Mytilus edulis: one gene and its partner. The protein of the gene in region 1 purifies or fractionates together with the protein of each later gene. This does not show direct contact. Links are inferred from orthologs where the notes say so. Each region holds a gene or a part of one and is shown on either strand. Other genes may lie near its edges.

What was found. Proteins that work in one complex are often made in the same cells at the same time.
Region 2: the proteins of ribonuclease P protein subunit p20-like (region 1) and inhibitor of Bruton tyrosine kinase-like purify together in Homo sapiens (affinity purification with mass spectrometry; 3 studies listed by BioGRID and IntAct, with this or other methods). This does not show direct contact. The link is inferred for Mytilus edulis from reciprocal best matches to the Homo sapiens genes POP7 and IBTK.

The regions. Positions count from the first base shown.
Region 1 is NC_092346.1:9,585,041-9,592,391, reverse strand, and holds the start of ribonuclease P protein subunit p20-like, read left to right. Parts: upstream 1-4,344; 5' UTR 4,345-4,420; coding exon 4,421-4,449; intron 4,450-7,351. Other genes in the region: protein ARV1-like, read right to left, coding at 4,051-4,131. UniProt on the Homo sapiens protein: Component of ribonuclease P, a ribonucleoprotein complex that generates mature tRNA molecules by cleaving their 5'-ends. Also a component of the MRP ribonuclease complex, which cleaves pre-rRNA sequences.
Region 2 is NC_092353.1:20,080,536-20,087,788, forward strand, and holds the start of inhibitor of Bruton tyrosine kinase-like, read left to right. Parts: upstream 1-4,244; 5' UTR 4,245-4,410; intron 4,411-7,183; 5' UTR 7,184-7,253. UniProt on the Homo sapiens protein: Acts as an inhibitor of BTK tyrosine kinase activity, thereby playing a role in B-cell development. Down-regulates BTK kinase activity, leading to interference with BTK-mediated calcium mobilization and NF-kappa-B-driven transcription.

The sequences.
Region 1 (7,351 bases):
ATTGATATTTGCCAGGGATTTACTCGCTCTTGAAAGGTCCTTTTGATAGTCTGAAGAACCAAACTGTTCTTGAAGCCTTGGCTGTTGTCTAATCAATGCGAGTGTATCATGATAGATCTTGGCTGATTGTCAACAGTATTTGCTAACATTGCATGTCTCTATTGTGTGGCCATAAGGATGTATATGGTATTGATTATACTACGCGCATATACCCTTTATCGCTATGTGGATAGAAATCATTTGCCAGATTACCGCCACTTTTCCCATGGTTCTGGTTGGATGTTCGTGTCGGATATTAACTTTGTTTCTATGTTCTTGGGGATCAAACAGTCATCATCAAACTGTTTAAAAAAAGAACCCAAATTTCAGTTAGTTCATTAATTAAAAAGTCAGAAATTTGAGAATCATTTTTAAAAGTAAGAAATAATAGGGTCATATGACGTTGACATGCTCCCTCTACTTGGACATGTCGCCTTCTTCTGCGTATGAAGTTACCATATCATTTCAGGACTGAACAGCTGATTCTACAGTTTTGGAACTTGAGAGGAACAATCTTTGATGTGGTAACTTGACGGAGGTTTTCCTAAAATCAAGTATTACGGCATCTGTCTTATGTAGACGAAACGCGCGTCTGGCGTACTAAATTATAATCCTGGTACCTTTGATACCTATTTACACCACTGGGTCGATGCCACTGCTGGTGGACGTTTCGTCCCCGAGGGTATCACCAGCCCAGTAGTCAACACTTCGGTGTTGACATGAATATCAATAAAGTGGTAATTTTTATGAAACAAAACTTTGAATTTTTCGAAAAACTAAGGATTTTCTTATCCCAGGCATAGATTACCTTAGCCGTATTTGGTACAACTTTTTGGAATTTTGGATCCTCAATGCTCTTCAACCTTTGTACTTGTTTGGTTTATAAATGTTTTGATATGAGCGTCACTGGTGAGTCTTATGTAGACGAAACGCGCGTCTGGCGTACTAAATTATAATCCTGGACTTTTCCTGGTACCTTTGATAACTTATATATATTGAACGTCTTTTGCAAAGTCTTGGATGGTTGCGATAAGCTATGTTTCACTAAAACGTCTACTCAAGAATCTATTCTGAGCATCAATAAGGGATTTTTTTGTAAGTGTTGTCACTGATGATGCATTTGTAGACGAAACGATCATCTGGCGCAAACACAAATTTCATTTCTGGTTTCTATGATGAGTTTATTTATGGTAGAATGTAGAATATGCCCAACAACAATATTGGAACATGAAAGTCAATGAAACCGGCATGTTGATAGCAGCTTTGCTCTTGTTTCCATTTTTAAGACATGTCTAACTTGTCTTACTATCCAGATGTCTAGAACCGTGTAAAGGTTGATTGAAGTCTGGTGTATTAGATAAAACACTGGGCAGCTCCTTCAAAAAAATAGCTGGTACTTAGTCGGGTCCTTCAGCTTTGTGTGGTTTATAAAGATTTTTGAGAAGCGTGTACACTAATGTAATTGAGCCATATGTGGAAATGTGCTTGGTCCCTTGTCCTTCTCTTGGGAATACAGACTTGAAGGATGTTTGTGTTTGTGATTTGTTCGCTTTGTACATATGTGAGGCCTTCTTGGACTCCTGCAATGTGCGATTGTGCTACTTGCTAAAAGACCAGAAGGTCTTAGTGTTACAGTTTGGTTTTGAACGTATGAGGTCACGGTCATAGTTCAAAAAGTCGTGTGAGCTTGACGAATACTCATCTAGAAATTTAACATTTAATGATTGTAGCGTTGATACACTTATTTTGCTTCTTGCTTTTTTTTTTGTTCTCTCTCTTATTGTATTAGTTTTGGGTAGTTGTTAGAGATGACAGGAATGTAAAGTAGTTCAATTATCTGTCAATCTAAAAATGCACTCTCTATATATACTTGATTAGCATAGTCCATCTATCATTGATCATCATTTGCTCGTGCATATTAATCTTCAACAACATGGCGGAAACTTCTTTACGGCTTTCGTTTTTTTCGAAGTGACAGATGTCAGCTGATTTGTCAATCCAGCAAATAAATAACAACAATACAAGAGGAAAGAAAATACTAGACCAGATGTTTACAAGCCACCCCTGAGAGAGAGATTTAAAACACTGCCACCCATACTATAGGAAATAGCTATCATGACATAGTATTAGTGGACATATCAGCAAATGTCAAATATCAATTGCTAGACAGAGCCACCCTTGGGTGAATACCCAACTGAGACAATTGAGCAAACAGAAACCAAGAGCTAACTCCAAGGCAAAACACAACAACTCACCAAAGGACTGGAAAGTCAAACGGTATAAAAACATCAGAGCTGAACTTCAACGAGCGTCTAGACGAGCACATACAAAATGCATGCAAAATATAGTCTGTGGAGATTTAAACAAGAACCCAAAAAGATTTTGGTCATACATAAAGAGTAGGAAACAGGAATCTTCAGGTATAACAATTCTAAAAATAAAGATGGATACTACATAGCGACACACCAACAAAAGCTGCTATACTAAACAACCAATTCCATTCAATATACACCCAAGAAGACCTAAACAACATGCCAGATAAAGGGCCAAGCCCACATCCAACCACGAGACCAATAAAAATCAGTCGGAATGGTGTCACTAGACTACTTAGAGGACTAAGACCGTTTAAGGTAATTGGCCCAGATGACTGATTGACATACCAGCCTTCATTCTCAAGAATACTCCTGATCAACTATCATCTTACCTGACAAGACTATACCAACTGTCAATGGACCAGGGATCAGTACCAGAAGATTGGAGGTCAACCAACATAGTCCCAGTCTTTAAGAAAGGTAAAAAAAAACACAGCAGCAAATTACCGTCCAGAGTCCTTGACATCCATCACATGTAAGGTGCTAGAGCACATAATCCACAGTTCTATCATGGACCACTATGAACAAAACACCATACTTTGCAACGAACAACATGGGTTTAGAACCAAACGATTATGCGAATTCCAGCTGGTAATAACTATACACGAAATAGCTAAGAACATGGAGGACGGCGACCAGACAGACATCATCCTGATAAACTTCGCTAAGGCCTTTGATAAGGTGCCACATGCCAGACTACTTCATAAAATGGATTACTACGGAGTAAGAGGTTTCCAGATTCAATGGATAAAACAGTTTCTGTCCAACAGAACTCAGTCTGTCATTCTCGAAAACCACAAGTCGGACCCTCTTTACGTGATATCTGGAATACCCCAGGACACTTAGATGGGTCCCTTCCTCTTTCTGGTCTATATCAACGACCTCCCAGAAGCACCAACATCAAGTGCTCGACTGTAAGCTGATGACTGTAGATCTACTCTTCCGCTGCATTAGGAAAACAGAGGATGCAGACTTGCTGCAAAAAGACCTATTTAAATCTCGCTGGAAGAATGGGAACACAGACCAGCAGCTCGCTTTGTTTATAGTTGCTACCAGGACAACTCTCCTGAATATGTTACTAAGCTACTGGACCAACTTCAATGGGAATCACTGCTGCACAGACGACGGAAACAGAGCCTCGTGTTGTATAACAAGAACCAACACCAGTTGATTGCCATTGATCCAGCCAAATACTGCACAACAAGGGATAGTAGGACAAGGGACAACCACTAATGTAGACAAACTACTCCCACTCATTCTTCCCAAGAACAACTAGAGAATGGAATTAACTCCCCCAATATATAGTGGAGTCCGGATCACTAGAGGAATTCGGGTCCAGAGTGAATACCACCCCCTGGACCCAGCCACATCTGAAATACATTAATTGTAGACAGCAGGATAACATGTGTACATAGATGTAATTAAGATTAATATTTCATTGTAAATACCATCAAGTTTTGCCTGTCCTCCTGTCATTTTGAGATGCGCCCGAGTTTATTACACTTTAGTATAGAGTTGAAAAAGAAGAAGACATGTGAAATTGTGTTGCAACAAAACGAAGTTCATTATGTGATGCATTCAATGTTTGGGGTATGCTATGTGTCATATATTGTCTTTCTAAATATGAAATATTACTTACGCAGTGTTCCAGTTGTATTATATCTTTAGAGTAATGTCTATAAAGACTATTACACTTTGTTCCGCAGTTGATGCATTTCATTGTTTATAGCGGATGTTTACATTAGTAAAATAATAAACGATAGTTGTATGGACAGTCCGAATATCCGTATTTTTATTGTTCACGAATCGCATTCAATAAAAATACATATAACATTAATTGGTTATCAATATCTATACGATGAAATATGCATTATCTCAACATACAGTGACAACTTTATACATATTCCATGTTCATGCAATCCTATTTAACCCGTTTTTTCAACGGTTCTTTTCCGATTTAATTAATTTTTTACAATTGTTTTGGTATATCCGGTTCTTTAAAAACAAAAATGATTTCTGAAGAAGAAGCAAAGCCAAAGTAAGTAAGACTGTTATGTCGTTAACAAAACAGTCGATTAATCATTAGTTAATAACAGATAAGTTTAATAAGGCACTGCATTTTTTGAGGTGATCATGCAGCCAGAAATAGGCAGAATGTTAGGATGTATTCCATCAATCAGGAACATATATATAGATATACTGTTCCCAGCATCAATACACCTTATCGCTATACACCTTATCGCTATTTGTCCGCCATTGCTGGAAATCACACAGGTTCCCGTAAAATTTTGACGTCATAAAACAAAATGTCTGACGCCACAATGGAAAAGTGATTGTTGTTGACGTCAAAAGTTCAAGCGGACGGGTCAGCCGGGAATAGCGATAAGGTGTATTCCCGGCTGACCCGTCCGCTTGAACTTTTGACGTCAACAACAATCACTTTTCCATTGTGGCGTCAGACATTTTGTTTTATGACGTCAAAATTTTACGGGAACCTGTATGATTTCCAGCAATGGCAGACAAATAGCGATAAGGTGTATGTAATCCATTGATTGTAAAAATGGGTATCAGGTCCGTTCGCGCCCAATACACTTTCGCACCCTACACGTTCGCACCTCGCACGTTCGCACCCAATGTCCGTTCGCACTCTACACGTTCGCGCCCAATTTTAATACAAAATTCCAGTCGAATAATTGGAAAATCATGATTGTTGTTTTAAATTGCTTTGGTGTAAATACTGAATGTATTTATAGCTTGATATGAGTAAAGAGGGGGGATAGGACCTTTATCGGGACTCTGAATCGGGTGTTTTTAAGCTCGGGATTTCGGGATCCGGGAATCCTTTTTTTCGGATTTCGGGATTTCAGGATTTGCTTTATTTAAGTTCGGGACCTCGGGATTTCGTTTTTTCAAGTCCGGGATTTCGGGATCAAGACCCTTCCTATCCCCCCTCAGTAAAACATTGAAGATTTTAAACGAAAAACACAAAAGATAATTGTTTTTAACAGCTTGGTCCCTTTGATCTGAAACAATGAAACAATAAAATATAGCAATACACGAATTATAACCAAAACATGATAAAATTTATACAACACACAAAAACAAAAAAAAACCTAGTCAGAATCTCACTTTATTTTGAATCAAGTCAGTGAAACAAAGTTATAGCAATACCACCGTGTAGATTGCCACATGCGGGGTGTCGGCTATGTTTGACATGGGGTGGCAATTTTGAAGCGACGAAAAAGTAACAAATTAAACAAGGTAAGTTCAAGCATCAAAATTTCTTATTTTTAGAACTCTCAGTACCATATAATGTATTGCACGGAAGGAACCGCAACATAATCTATTTCCTGAAAGCAGAAGCAGTCGTTTTCAGTGCTTAGTTTTCTCAAACACCTCGCCCTAGTTTTCCGGGTTGCAGATTTGAGGCTTTATTTGCCAATTTCGGTATAAAAAACTACTTTACACAGCTAACCTCCATATCATTTATATAGAATTGTATTCGTCTCTTTGATTTATACCAAATACCAGTTTCTTGGTTAAAATTAATTGGTTTTAAAACTGTTATTCATCAAAATATAAAGTGTCGCTCGGGGTGTCAGATTTTGTGTCGCAAGGGGTAGAGGCTTGTCATAAAAAAGAATACATTTTCTTATAAATCGATCTCTATCTGATACTTTTTAATTCAAACACACCTACACTGTTATGATGACAAATTACAAACTTAAGGTATGTAGTTCTAGCTGGGCGATTATGAACGAAATAACTGTCTTGAATCATATTTTCTTGTAAACCTGTTCCGTTGTATATTTGTGTATAAGTCGTTGTTTTCTCATTGACAATTGTAGTATCATCGTCTTCAGGATTACTTGAAGTTGTGTTGTCATTCGCTGAAAAAGATGCCGGTGAGTGTTTCATTGGAGAAAGTGTTCTAATTCTTTTAGGAGTGATGGTTTTTGGCGGCGTGCATGAGTGCTTTTTAGATGAACCTGGTGATGAACTATGATGCATTTTTGCTGGTGGAGGCTTCTTATATTAAGGACTATTTTGTGATTTTCCACCATGTTTTGGTTTATTGAGCCATAGCCTTGCCTTTTTTTACCATGATAGTGACTGAAAAGGAAAAGAAATCGTTTACCAGCTTGGAAACTAAATATGTTGAGTCATTTTTTACTATGAATGAAATCAAAAGCACATGTTTTATAAGACCAAAAACAGGCAAAATGAAAAACCCTTATTTTGTCATGGTAAAGTAGATGTGAATGAAATCAAATCATATCTTTTATAAGACGAAAAACAGGCAAAATGAAAAATCCTATTTTGTCATGGTAAAGTAGATGTGTTTGAAATAAAATGTATCATATGAAGGCTAATTTACATACAAATATGTATTTTTTATGACAAGCCTCTACCCCTTTCGACGCAAAATCTGACACCCCGAGCGACACTTTATATTTTGATGAATAACAGTTTTAAAACCAATTGATTTTAACTAAGAAACTGGTATTTGGTATAAGTCAATGAGAGGAATACAATTCTATATACATGGTACGGAGGGTAGCTGTGTAAAGTAGTTTTTATACCGAAATTGGCATATAAAGCCTCAAAATCTGCAACACGGAAAAGTAGGGCGAGGTGTTTGAGAAAACTGAGCACTGAAAACGACTGCTTCTGCTTTCAGGAAATAGATTTTGTTGCTGTTCCTTCCGTGCAATATATTATATGATACTGAGAGTTCTAAAAATAAGAAATTTTGATGCTTGAACTTACCTTGTTACTTTTTCGTCGCTTCAAAATTGCCACCCCATGTCAAACATAGCCGACACCCCGCATGTGGCGTTCTACACGGTGAATACACTAACCAAAACATGATTAAGAGTTATTCAACACAAAATAAAACTTTGACAGAATCCCACTCATGACTTTATTTAGAAAGTATT
Region 2 (7,253 bases), on another chromosome or scaffold:
TAAACATAAAATTACAGTTTGTTCTTTTTCTTTACTAATATAATTTCCTAAAGCTAAATATGTTATAAAGTATGTCATGTTGAGATTTTCTGGTATCGGTTGAGATATTCTGGAACAATGTTGAGATCTTCTGGTGAATGAAATTTTCAACTATAAAAAGAAGATGTGGTATGACTGCCAATGGGACAACTGTCCACAAGAGACCAACATGACACAGACATTGACAACTATAGGTCACCGTACGGCCTTCAACAATGAGCAAAGCCGATACCGCATAGTCAGCTATAAAAGGCCCCGATATGACAATGTAAAACAATTTAAACGAGAAAACTATAAAGACCTTATCTGTATAAAAAATAAATAAATAACGGAAAACAAATATGATTCAATATGCAGCACATAAACAAACGACAACCACTGAATTACAGGCTCCTGACTTGGGACAGGCACATACATAAATAATGTGGAGGGGTTAAACATGTTAGCGGGATCCCAACCCTCCCCCTTACCTGGAACAGTGGTATATATAACAGTACAACATAAGAACGAGCTATAAAAATCAGTTGAAAAAGGTTTAACTCATCAGATGAACAAAAATGCAATTGGACGTGGCCGGGTTCTTGAACATCCCGACAACAAAAAGACACTAGGAACAGATTTGAGAGTACTCGCAGTTATCTGACAGCTAGTTAAAAGCCATTAACAACTAATAAAAAAATCATGCATCTAAGACTAAACTATCAATCCGTACACATCAAATTAATTTAGTGTAAAGACGTCATAAACAGTCAGAGAAAAACATGACCTTGTGTAGCTTACAACTGTCAAAATTCATAAACTTGCCGTATATTGTTTGACATTTCAACAGTCATTTTAATCTTGTCTGTAGTTATGACAGCAGCTTCTAAAGAGGCCTTTGGTTGTAATAGAGTCTAAATAGTAAATAGCTGTGTTTTTTAAGTACTAGTATTAAAGTTCTAACGCTGGAGATTAATTCTAGCGTTTGAGATGCAGTTTTGCACAGAAGCTTTAACGTCAATAATGTTGTAATTGACATCTCCAGGGCTATTAATTATTTATTTATTTATGTGTTACATATTTGTTGTTCGTTCATTTTTTTTTATATTTACAAGGCCGTTAGTTTTCTCGTTACAATTGTTTTACATTGTCATTTTGGGGCCTTTTATAGCTGTCTATGCAGTATGGGCTTTGCTTATTATTGAAGGCTATACGGCGACCTCTAGTTGTTACTTTATGTGTCATTTTGGTCCCTTTTGGAGAGTTGTATCATTGGCAATCGTACCACAGAAAGAACATTGATAATAAAACGGATACATACAAATTGAAAACAAATCGCGTAAGAAAAGGCAATTATTGGTATGTTAGTTTTCTTTAGTACCATGAATATTTTTGGCTCAACTTCTCAATCATGATCAGGCAAAATTATTGGCTTTTTATTCTGACATTTTTTTTTATTCCTCTTCCGTCCCATTTTTCGGCATATAACACGTCCGTTTTATTTGGCCATTACATCACGGACTCCTAACGGATGCAAATTTTGTAAATCGAAAACTTTTGTTTATCCTTTCGACGTTCGTTCGAGCTATCTGGTAAGGTGTGACCACAGTTTTTAGCAGATATCGCATGCTTAGCATACACACAATTTTTTTTTAACTATCTCCCACAATTAAGCTACGTCGAATCCAGTTTTAAAATATTTAAAAAGAAAACTGAATTAATATTCAGAAATGGATATTCATTAAATTCTTTCATTTCATCAAAAGTTATTATTTAAAGTAGATAATTGCAAAGGAGATGTACATGCAATATAGATTACCTCTTACTGTCATAATCTGAAGGAGAACTGGAGGACAAATGTTGAACTATCTCCTGACACTTTAAGACTGTTCTAGCTTAAACAGTTCTAATCAAGAACTGATTTGGTCATTGGTAAGTTCTACCTAGAACTGATTTACACAGTTCAATCTGGAACGACAGTTCCACGGCTAAAAAAATCTACGACTAGAACAGAACTGCGACCTGATTTCGCCACGAACGCATCACGATTGTTTTGAACATGTTAAAAGTTGGCTACTCTCAACACGATCACCAAGAACTCATCAAGACCGTAACACAACCAAACTGCACTACGATCGTCAATAGCATTATTTTTTTAGAAATCGTAGTGCGAGACCTAGTGTGACGGGGCCCGGGTTATAATATAAATGTTGCTGAATATTACCAAATATTAAGGATGTGCCCTGAATGCAGTTGTAAACAAATATCTAAGTTTTAATTATTTCAATACAACACCTGTGATTACACTAAGTTGGACGTCACTTATAATAATTACAAAGCAATTTTAAAATCGTCATATTTTTTTTTTGTGATAAGTATTATAATGACAAAAATGACATCTTTTACTCACATTTAAATTATCCTCTCCCTGAAATAATGTGTAAGAAAAAATAAACCTAGAAAAGGGGTCCTGTTCGATTGTTTAGTTTTTAACTATTTTATTTCTTTATAAATGTACGCATTTTCGGCATCAAATATTGTCTGTTAGGAATCGAATTCATCCAAATCATATGAATGAATAACCATTGTAAAATAATCTTATTTATATTTGTAAGGCATGCATTTTTCTATCGGCAATGCTTAAAATTGTATCTGTATTTAGATTTTATGTTACCCTAGACAGAGAACATGAATCAGGTTAACCATAAAAAAAGGTAAACTCGAATAGTACAGCGCAACCAGAAAGTCTCAACATTGTGACAGAAAGATTCAACCAATACCTTTATATCTCAACCAATTTTAATTTTTTTATTTTTTGCTCAGAGTAGGCTTGACAAACACATATTTGTGCAATTTACAGACGTGGTTATCGTAAAGCCTAAAAAAACACAAATTATTGACATATTTTCTTGCTAAGTCATTAATATCATAGCACTTCTATCGTATTTAAAGAATGTAAACATTATAATCCGTAGGAGAAAAGTGATTGTGACTTCAATTTAAAATATTTTAAACCAAGAAGAGACATATTAGTTACAATTATGATTTGTCTATGGCATGACATTCTCCGATTTACAAAAAAAGTCGTTAATTTTCAGTAAATCGACAAAAAATCGACCTACCCTGTGTTTATTTTCAATATTTTGAACCAGAAAAGCTCAACAGGAAGTGCCAGAATACTTTTTTCCGTCTCAACCATTTGGTTGAGATTAGATTGTTGGTTTACCAGGCGTGTTAAAACACAATGTTGACTGCTGCACCCCTATCAAGTTTTGATATTTTTATCTATCTTTTTGTGTTTGTTTTGTTCACACATCGTTATCAATATAATGGAATTGTATGCGACTGTATGGTTTAATCCACCATTTATACTTCAGAAAATGCCTGAACCAAGTCATGAATATGACAGTTGTCATCCATTTATTTGGTGTTTGAAAATTTGATTTTGCCAAAAATGATTTGCTTAGGAATTTTCCGTTTCGAAATTTCCTCGGAGCTAGTTCGGTATTTTTCTTCTTTTTTAAAACTTTTTCCTGCGATTTAATTTGAATAGTCACTAGGTGCTGGGACTATTATAATATCATTAGTATAATAGTCCCAGCTAGCTGCTTTTTTTTTAACTAGCTTTCGATATAATAACTTAAGTAACAAACACAGAAAGCGCTTCTCCTGTTTCACATATATATAGAGTATTTTCCGTTTGTCCATGATGAATTCTGCCGGGGATATCGTGAGCGGCGTCACTTGTAAAATAGTTTAAAACCTTTAGACTAAAGTTGCAAAACGTAGTAATTTTTTGTCACTTTACAGTTTTTTTCTAACAAACCACCTTTTGTTGTATCATTTGAACCCATGAGTCTATGATGAATAAAAGGAGATGTGGGGTTATATGCCCATGACATAGTAACCCAGCTACAAAATTAAATAACCACAAAACCAAATTTTAACGTGTCACTATGACATGGACAAAAGTTAAAATTATTTGTTTTATGACTTCTACAGTAGTGAAATTAAAATAAAAAATACAAATACGAATTTATGTAAAAGATCAAATTTTTTTAAGGATATGAACAAAAAGTTTATTACCAGATTACAGATCCAACACAGTATATTGACCACTTGATTATCTTGTTGAAACAAAAAATCGTAAATGATTCTGTGATTACTTGGACTACCCCATGAGGGGCCTCTTTTAAGAATCGGACATATTTCCGGAACATTTCTCCAGATTTGATTTGGTTAATAAATTTGAATCGTCGTTTCCTGTTTATATTTCACCACGTCAAAAAAATAGAAATTATATAAAAATTATGTCTAAACTAAGCATAAACACCAACTTTACATACTCCCTCTACACTGTTTGCGACAATAATGTTCTGTCCTCTTGATCAGGTAATGCAAAACTCGAATGCTTTGGTTGAATTAACAAAAATATCTTGAACATGTTAACATGGTTAAGGTCACAAGAACTTTTGAAGAAGTGACATACACAGTGTTTCATACTTGTTATGCAATTTTCTTGGCATATCTCACTATGATCGGGAATATAGTGCTATGATTTGCTATAAATTTGTTCATTTATATCCATTGAATGTCTTTATAGTCAATAAAGGTAAACTTAAATAATTATATTGGTATATATACATGTACATGCAGTGCTCTAGCTAGAAATCAAAAGGGGCAGGGTGCCAGTGGAGGGCAGGGCACTTTTTATGATAAGAAAAGGCACTGCCATTTTTTTTGTCTACGTTTCTGTGTGTATCACGAGTTAACGAATCTCTTTTTTTTTTACTGTATATGTTGTTTTTTTTAAATAAAGATGCATTTTAACTATAGTCTTTATTTCATTGTTTGTGTAGTTATGAATTATATAGTACATCTTCATCAACTTATAAAAGTGTTTATAGTTTAACTTCACTCTACCCATTGTCGAAGAATTTTTTTTTTATCTTTATAAGAATTTCAGCTTTTATATGTTATTTATCTAACTTTGTAGTGTATTACTAATTTATCAATGTTTAGAACATGGATTGCTAAAAGTATAATTATCAAACAGAAATTGCAATATATTTTTTTTAATATGTTCAAAGACAGTTAATATCCTTAAGGTAACATTATTATGTTATTATATATTCAATTGGTTCTTTATTCCTTTTTTTGATACTAGATAATATTTTTAGAGCACAAATTTGTAATAAGCTAAAACAGGGGAAGTAACTCCAAAATTAATTTCCAACACGTTTGCGTTAATTAAAAACTGTGCTTGTCGCTAACAAGTTGAGATGGAAGGCATTTCTGTGAAGGCATAGTTTTATTTTGATGACTTAAATTCAATTCTAAAGTCATGAAAGTCTTCATTTATACACTCTTTCATTGTGACTTGGAAATCGAAAATGCCGACCCAACCTAAACACACTTGCTGACACGTTCATCAAAAGTATGACAAAAAGATACATTGTCCTAATTAAATTACCTAGTTATTAACACCTTTGAAGTCTTTATCATTGTAATTGATTGTAATGACATGATTAACCTGGGGGCAATCACACAGGTGTCATATATGTAATTAACTTGGAGATCAGAAATCGATGAAACAAAAAGCAATTTTACCAAAACGGCACAAGAGAATTTTGGAAAAAGACGTCAGGGCAGAAGGGCGCGGATGAAGGCACCCAGGGCGCGGCTGAGGGCACCCAGGGTGCGGCGCCCTTCTATTTTGGGCTAGCGAGACCACTGTACATGTATGTTAATAGGGGTGAGGCACTTGCAAGGCTAATATGAGGCAGGCATTACCTGTAAATGGGGACGAAGTCTGTATGAATTATTTTTTTGAACCTTAAATATTTGTTAAAAAAAAGAAACGGAAATACCGTAACGTTTCCAATTTTGGTTCTGTTGTTAGGGATTTTTAGTTGTGACGTTATTTAAGTTATGACATCATATGCAATGTAAACCAAGAAACGCTTTCATCAGGTAACGTTTTTTCATATCGAGGAATTATAAAAAAAATGAAATTGGTATTGCGTTCCTTTCTATTTTATACTAGACTGATAAATATATATTTTACTCAAAGTTTCACAAAAACGAGACCAGAAAAAGGAAGTACATTGTAGATTTCTGCGCAGATGTGGGAATTCAAAACATGACATCAAAAAAATTGAACGATTTTGAGTTCATTAGTACAATGAAAATTTTGGGAAAATTAAATTTCCTGATTTTTTTAAAATTTTTTTTTATTATTGATTTTTCTACTGTTATTGGGGACTTCGTCCCCATATAATCAGTTCATTGAGTGTGGCCAATGTATCTGGCAGAAACTATTTAGAATACAACACACCTGCTTGATATCATACTAGTATACTGGCCAGCGACCACATGTGTGATTTATGACAACTTATCGATGGGTGTGTAAATATTGACACCTTTGTGTGTTTTTAATGACTCTTTGCAAGCTTAAATTAAGGAAAATACATTTACATGGTGATTGGAATAGTACAAATTTTTATTGATTTATAATACAATACAGATTATATTATGACTTCTCTTGAACTGAAAGTGAATTTTAATATGCGTATTGTTATACGTTTACTTTTCTACATTGGCTAGAGGTATAGGTGGAGGGTTGAGATCTCATTAACATGTTTAACCCACCACAACTTTGCGCCTGTCCCAAGTCAGGAGCCTCTGGCCTTTGTTAGTCTTGTATGATTTTTAATTTTAGTTTCTTGTGTATAATTCGGAGTTTAGTATGACGTCCTTTATCACTGTACTAGTATACATACTTTTTAAGGGGCCAGCTGAAGGAAGCCTCCAGGTGCTGGAGTTTCTCGCTACATTGAAGACCCGTTTGTGGCCTTAGGCTGTTGTCAACTTTATGGTTGGGTTGTTGTCGCTTTGACACATTCCCCATTTCCTTTCTCAATTTTACAATGCAGCGTCCAACAGAATGACTTCTTACTTGAACAAGTTAATTATATATAAAATAGTATATGGCACATAATTGGAAAGCACTTGGTCAAGAGAATAAATGGTATCCAATATACAGTATACCATTCAAGGAAAATTTGTATATGAGAAGAAAATATTTTTATTTGCATCTAGAAATTGTACTGACTTTTTTATTAGTAATTACATTTCAATTAATTATTGTTTTTCTTAATTTCAGGTTAATCTTACCATTATGGCTTTTTAAACACTGACACTATGGTTGCCCTATAGTGGGCATCCAGTCTTTG